2 linked regions of the Oryctolagus cuniculus genome follow. The protein of the gene in region 1 interacts with the protein of each later gene in a pairwise test. Links are inferred from orthologs where the notes say so. Each region holds a gene or a part of one and is shown on either strand. Other genes may lie near its edges.

Region 1 (3,814 bases):
AACCCTGAGCCCTCTGAATTCTGGAATTCATTCTACTGGAATGTCCTACTGCTTTTTTAAAATCACCACTAGACATCTGTTGGATGTCTGATAGCCACTACAGTGTCAGCATGTCCCATATCTAATTCCTGATTTCCCCTCAACCATCTCCTCCAGTGGTCTTCCTTGATTGATGGCAGCGCCATTTTCCCAGGTGCACCTGTGAAATGCCTCAGATCATTCCCCCACATCCAGTCTATCCACAGAACCTATTGGCGGTATGAAAAATGTATTCAGAATTGGTCCATTTCTATGACTTCCATTGCCACCACCTGGCTCAGGCCACAGTCATCTTGCTTCTGGACTATTACAGTAACTGTAGTTGCCTCAGCAGACCTAGCTTCTCAAGTGTAAGAGGTCACATTCCTTTGTGTACAGCCTTTTAGTGGCCTTCTTGTTCACCTGGATTCAAAGGCAAGCTCTATTTAGATGGCCAAGGCCATCTCCTCTGACCTCTTGTCATTAGACATCCTGTGGCTAGACCTTTGTCTGCTGTTCCCTTTGAGTTGGCCATTCCTTTTGCCTGTGTTCCTCAGCTCCGCCTGCCACCCCAGCATCCATGGGGCTGACGTCATACTCACTTCAGGTCTCTGCTTAGTTGTCTGCCTCTCAGGCGCCCCTGACTCGTCTCTGTGTCCCTCCTGTCTCAATGGCCTTGGTTTCTTTGCCATTTCCCTGTTATATGTTCTTTTTCTGTCTCCCATAAGAACAAGCGGAGTAGGTCTGAGTCTTTTCTGTTTTGAATGTTTCAGTGCTGTTATCTTTGGTACATAGAATGGTACCCAGCATCTGGTTGAGGCTTGATAAATATGTGTTGAAAAAGTGAAAGAATGTATCATGATTTCTAAAAGTGTATTTACCTAGTTCTGAAGAGTTTTAAGTGGCTTGGGATGAGATTAATTTTTTTCTTGAAAAGACAAGTATATCAAGGTAGACAGCTCTGGAGAGTGTTAGGGTAGCACTAGGATGTAGAGTTAATTTTAAACTGTGAACAGTCCATATATTTGAATAATCCATCAAGAGAGAAAAACTGAGCCAGCGCCGTGGCTCACTTGGTTAATCTTCTGCCTGCGGCGCCGGCATCCCATATGGGCGCTGGGTTCTAGTCCTGGTTGCTCCTCTTCCAGTCCAGCTCTCTGCTGTGGCCTGGGAGGGCAAAAGTGGAGGATGGCCCAAGTGTTTGGGCCCCTGCACCTGCATGGGAGACCAGGAAGAAGCACCTGGCTCCTGGCTTCAGATTGGCGCAGCACTGGTCGTGGCAGCCATTTGGGGAGTGAACCAACGGAAGGATGACCTTTCTCTCTGTCTCTCTCTCACTGTCTGTAACTATCAAAAAAAAAGAAAAAAACTAATTCTAAGTGCATAAAACCAAAGTAAGTCAAATAGAGAGATATGCCAAATGAGAAAATTATAGGTATTATTAAGTATAATATAAATGTATTTTTTAAAGTCAATGTCACATTTCTCATTAAATATTAATTGGACTTACATATTCAGAGGATATTGAATTTTTCAAAAGTACATTTGTTGAGCCGGCACCACAGCTCACTAGGCTAATTCTCCGCCTTGCAGCCCCGGCAAACTGGGTTCTAGTCCCAGTCGGGGCGCCGGATTCTGTCCCGGTTGCCCCTCTTCCAGGCCAGCTCTCTGCCGTGGCCAGGGAGTGCAGTGGAAGATGGCCCAAGTGCTTGGGCCCTGCACCCCATGGGAGACCAGGAGAAGCACCTGGCTCCTGCCATCGGATCAGCGCGGTGCGCCGGCCGCGGCGGCCATTGGAGGGCGAACCAATGGGAAAGGAAGACCTTTCTCTCTGTCTCTCTCTCTCACTGTCCACTCTGCCTGTCAAAAAAAAAAAAAAAAAAAGTACATTTCTGCTTCTCAGTTGATGTCATAAGCTCTGTTCTTAGTAAAAAGCAAAAGCTTATATATAAATTGAAAGTACATAAAGGGGCTGGTGCTGTGGCATATCTGGTAAAGCCACTGCCTACAGTCCCGGCATCCCATATGGGCACCGGTTCAAGACCTGGCTGCTCCACTTCTGATCCGGCTCTGCTGTGGCCTGGGAAAGCAGTAGAAGATGGCCCAAGTTTTTGGGCCCCTGCACCCACATGGGAGACCCGGAGGAAGCGCCTGGCTTTGGATCGGTCCAACTCTGGCCATTGGGGCCATTTGGGGAGTGAACCAGTGGATGGAAGACCTTTCTCTCTCTCTGCCTCTCCTTCTCTGTGAAACGCTGCCTTTCAAATAAATAAATAAATCTTTACAAAAAAGTATGTATAGAAGAAAAATGCATAACAGTTCACTTTTTGCTTCCTAATACTCAAATGTTTCTGAATTTGTGATCACTGTTTCAGGTTTGAAAATCAACTTCAGCGGTGGTTGTCTGACGACTCGAGAGCGTTTAGAGAGCCTTCACTTCCTCTCTACCTCCCTCAGACTCTAGTGTCTCTCCCCCAGACTATCGAGCCTCTGGTGAAAACAACTGTAGCCACCAGCCCACAGGTGAGCCCTGAACACATTCATTAAAGACAGAAAATGGCTGGGAAAAAATGTAATGTCTTAATTCATCATCTGATGTTATGATGACCAGTAAAGTATTAACTTGAATTATGCCATTTCTTAATACTATTGTAAGGCTTTTTTTTTTTTTTTTAAAGATTTATTTATTTATTAGAGAGGGAAAGTTACAGAGAGAGAGAGGGAGAGACACAGAGAAAGGTCTTCCATCTGCTGGTTCACTCCCTAAATGGAGCTGGGCCGATCTGAAGCAGGAGCTTCTCGGTCTCCCACATGCGTGCAGAGGCCCAAGCACTTCTGCTGCTTCCCCCGGCTATCTGTAGGGAGCTGGATCAGAAGAAGAGCAACCTGGACTCAAACCAGCACCCATATTGGATGTGGTGCTGCAGGCGAAGGCTTAGTCTACTAAGCCACAGCACCAGCCCCCAGAAGATTTATTTCTTTGAAAGGCAAGGTTGGGGGCCGGGGGGAGATGTTCCATCTGCTGATTACTCTCCAGATGGCTACAATGTTCAGCACTGGGCCATGCTGAAGTCATGAGCCTAGAACTCTATCCTGCTCTTCCTTGTGGATGGCAGGTGCCCAAGTAGTTGAGCCATCCTCTGCTGTTTTCCAAGCCAATTAGGAACCTGGATTGGAAGTGGAGCAGCCAGGACTCAAATTGACACCCATATGAATGCCGGTGTTGTAGGTGGCATCTTACCCTGCTGCGCCACAATGCTGGCCCCGAAACATGCTTAACTGAATGAGGGGCCAGTGCTGTGGCCTAGCAGGTAAAGCCTGCAGTGCGGCATCCCATACAGGCACCGGTTCGAGACCTGGCTGCTCCACTTCCGAGCCAGCTCTCTGCTATGGCTTGGGAAAGCAATAGAAAACGGCCCAAGTCCTTGGGCCCCTGCATCCGCGTGGGAGACCCGGAAGAAGATCCTGGCTCCTGGGTTTGGATCAGCGCAGCTGTGGCTGTTGTGGCCAATTGGGGAGTGAACCAGTGAACTCTTTCAAATAAATAAATAAATGTTTTAAAAAAAGAACTGAATGAAGCCTGTAACCATGTGCTGGCATACATTAAGGGCGTGGACAGGTGTAACAAAGGTGGCTTCTGTTTGTGGAGCATTGTGTCATAGCCTTGGCATCACGCAGAGTTGGCTTCTAGAGTTGAGTTTTCCTGAGGAAGATTAATAAATGATGGTAAGCTCTCAGAATTCAAGAACCTCACCCAAGAGTGTTCAGCTCGTCAGGGGCAGAGCTGCTTTTCAAA
Region 2 (3,814 bases), on another chromosome or scaffold:
GATTTCAGTGCAGTGATGTTCTGAAAGTGCTTTCACCAAGGCGTGTAAAGAAGTCCAAGCTGGGCTCCCAGGAGATAGCATGGGGCTAGAGTACAAGATCTGGGGTCATATCTAAGTTCCCAGAGTTCATGTCAGTGTCACATAAGCAGGGTTTTGAACTTGAGAGTCTTCCTGCTGTGATAATCTGCATGAACACCACTAACCTCAAAAGATTTAAATTTAAGGGCAGCGGTGTTAGGTTACTAGAGATCACTTTGGACAACAAGCATGCTTGCTCAACTCCTATTTGTCAAAGTCCAGCTTGAGCTTTACACTCTGCAAATCCTTCCTTCACATGCACACTCCCTCAGGGAAGTCTAAAGGAAAATATAGTTCTTTCTTTTTCTGTATTCTGTCTTTCACACTTGTTCCTTTGTACATGCCACCATGAGATAGTCATTTATAAATATGTATATGTGTTTTTCGTGATTACTTTTCAAAAAACAGTCATTCAATTGAAAAGCACAATGACAGAGAGAGGAAGAGACAGAGACACACAGAGCAAGGGATCATCCATCTGCTGTTTCCCACCCCAAATGCTTCCAAAAGCCAGGGTTGAGTCAGGCTGAAGCCAGGAGCCAGAAACTCCACAGAGGTCTCACAGGCTGGATGGCAGGAACCCAGGTACTTGGGTCATCATTCACTGCCTCCCAGGTGCATTAGCCAGAAGCTAGATCAGAAGCATAGAGTAGCCAGGACTTAAACCAGCCACTCCTAAATGGGGTCCTTATTCTATTTCACCTTGGAAAAGGAAATGACTAGAATTGTTCAACAGGATACCTTTTGGACAAGGAAGGAATTAAAACTAAAATGCTTTCAAAGATCCCAGGCAGCAGGGACTCCTGCCCTAGCTACAGAAGACCAAGGGACTCGCCGGTTCCATCCCCACTGGGGCACTCACCCTGGCAGTGTCTGAGCTCATGCTGTCCTGGCTGCGCAGACGCGAGTACTCCTCTGCAATGTAGGCAGCCGACTCCTGCGTCAGGACAGGCTTAATGATCTTGGCCACATGGATGTACTTCCTCATGAATGCTGCACTCACCATCTTCTCCCTGGAACCCCACACAGTGAATTCCACTTCCCTTCCACACCTTACTACCTGTCTGGCAGACTGCCTTCTGTCTCCTCAGAGAAGGCAAGGTCAAATGGTAGAGCAGAGATGGAGCCTAGAACCCATTATTATAACACCCATTTATTAGAAACATATAGTAGGTCCTTTCACTCAAGTCTATTCAACAATTTTTAGGTTTACCTGTGAGTTAATAGGAAGTTAAGTATTTTTTCCTCTATTTTATAGGATAAACTGTAACTCAGATGCTAAAGTAGACTCAAATTCAGTTTTGACTCCAAATTTGATATTCTTAAGCCAACAGTTTTGAATATCTTGCTTTGATTCTTATTGTACCATAGACAAAAACGGAAGCACGGGATCCCACATTTCATTCTCTGACCACTGAAAAATAAGACTACAAGTCTATTTGCAAAATGTCTAATGTTTGCTATGTACTGACCCTTTACCATAAATTCACCACAAATGGCTCCAAGACATGTGCAACTTTCCATGTACAAGGAAGACATATTCCTACCATTAATTGAGCATGTTGTCAAATGTATTTTAGGAAAAGATCTGAACCTGGGCTGAACCACCCAAGCATTTACAAGACAACTGGCCAAGATAAAGACTGTATCTGTGGACCCAGACAAGAAGAAAATCAGCCCCCATGACTGTGACTGCAAGCATGACCTTGGCCTAGCCTCTTAATGCCCTTACTAAGCTCAGCTGCACATGTGTTCTAACACAACATAAGGCAAATCTCACACTCCTTCGTGGGAGAGGCATGAAGGATACTCACTTTTTCTTCTTGGTCCCATGGAGGAGGTTGTCATGCTTCTCATAAATCTGAGTGTCCTGCTGGTCATCCTGGTTGAAGTCTGGATCATCTGTGGCCAGGATATCCACAGCACTACCCAAGGGCATAGCTGGTACGCCGCAGTTGGGAGAAAAGAGAGTAAGAGTTTAACTCAGGGGAAACTGCTCCTTCTATAGCCTAGACTAAGAGTCACAAAGCCAAGGACTCAGCTACATGGAACCCACAAATAAGGAGAATGCCATTGCCTGGGGCACACAACATGCTCAGAGGAACTCCCAGACCTAGAAAAGGACCAAAGGCACAACTCAGGATAACTTCCAGTGAGCAAACAGGGAGGTGGCTGGGTAGGTGAGGGCATCTTTAACATCACCCCAGACACTGAAACACCCACCACCACCTGGGCTGACGCAGAGATAATAATGCCTATTTGTGATTCCTTTCATCAGTCACTCTAACTCCTCTCATGGCCTCACCATCGCCATCCTGCTCTCCAGGGGCTCTGTAACGGTGCATCCGAAGGACATGATCTGAGATCTCCCGATCCTGCTCAGGATCCATCTGATCCAGCATGATGAAGAGCAAGTCAAATCGGGACAGCAGTGAGTCCTGTAGCCCAATGTTTTCCATTGGGGTCTTATATTGATCATACTGGGAAATACAAGAAAAAGTGATGTGGAGACAATATTAGCAGGAAGAAAACACAAAACCAGATTAATTATGGAAGCAGGAATAGAAGGCCAAGTCTTGAAGGAACACATAGGTAAGAAGCTATGAAAAAGTGAAGCATTTTAAAACTAAATTTGGGTCAAATAGCATTGCAAGTTAAACCACCACCTGGGATACCCACATTCCATATCAGAGTGCCTGGAAGTCAATCCTGCCTCCTCTTCCAACCCAGCCTTCTGCTAATGTGCACTCTAGAAGGCAGCAGATGATGGCCTGAGTACTTACGGTCCTACCAGCCACATGAAAGATGAAGATGGAGTTCCTGGCTCCTGGCTTCAGCCTGACACAGCACTGACAATTGTGAATATTTGAGGAGTGAATGGATGGAAATTTCTCTTGCTCTATCACCTTGCCCTTCAAATAAATAAACTTTGAAAAAAGACAAAAACAGTGAAAGAGAGAGAAAGGTCTTCCTTCCTTTGGTTCACCCCTCAAATGGCCGCCACAGCTGGAGCTACGCCAATCCGAAGCCAGGAGCCAGGTGCTTCTTCTTGGTCTCCCATGAAGTGCAGGTGCCCATGCACTTGGGCCATCCTCCACTGCCTTCCCGGGCCACAGCAGAGGGCTGGACTGGAAGAGGAGCAACCCGGACTAGAACCCGGCACCCATATGGGATGCCGGTGCTGCAGGCGGAGGATGAACCTAGTGAGCCATGGCACCAGCCCCCAAAAAGATAATTTTTAACAAGGAGATATATTTTCTGGCACATGCTTAAATTTTTTCTGAAACACTCCACACCTGTACTAATTACCTCTTAGGAAAGAGGTAGCAGACGGAAGGATTTCAATATTCATATTATATCTACTTAGAAATTCGCCTGCTATGAGCATGTAGTACTTTTGTTTTAATGACTACTCAGGTTATCTGAATTGTGAGACTGCAAATCAGTTTTGTTTTCTTCTTTGTACTTTCTTAAAATTATTTTTTAAAGATTTATATATTTTACTTGAACGTCACAGTTACACAGAGAGAAGGAGAGGAAGAGAGAGAGACAGACAGATAGAGGTCATCCATCCACTGGTTCACTCCCCAAATGGCTGCAACAGGCGGAGCTGTGCCAATTCAAAGCCAGGAGCCAGGAGCTTCTTCTGGGTCTCCCACATGGGTGCGGGGACCCAAAGACTTGGGCCATCTTCTACTGCTTTCCCAGGCCATAGTAGAGAGCTGGATCAGAAGTG

Evidence for each region.
Region 2: the proteins of MCM3AP (region 1) and MCM3 interact in a two-hybrid assay, tested with the Homo sapiens proteins (2 studies listed by BioGRID). The link is inferred for Oryctolagus cuniculus from reciprocal best matches to the Homo sapiens genes MCM3AP and MCM3.

What each region holds. Positions count from the first base shown.
Region 1 is NC_091435.1:643,069-646,882, forward strand, and holds part of MCM3AP (germinal-center associated nuclear protein), read left to right. Parts: intron 1-2,393; coding exon 2,394-2,541; intron 2,542-3,814.
Region 2 is NC_091436.1:117,747,378-117,751,191, reverse strand, and holds part of MCM3 (DNA replication licensing factor MCM3), read right to left. Parts: intron 2,559-3,814; coding exon 2,384-2,558; intron 2,020-2,383; coding exon 1,893-2,019; intron 1,092-1,892; coding exon 941-1,091; intron 1-940. UniProt on the Homo sapiens protein: Acts as a component of the MCM2-7 complex (MCM complex) which is the replicative helicase essential for 'once per cell cycle' DNA replication initiation and elongation in eukaryotic cells.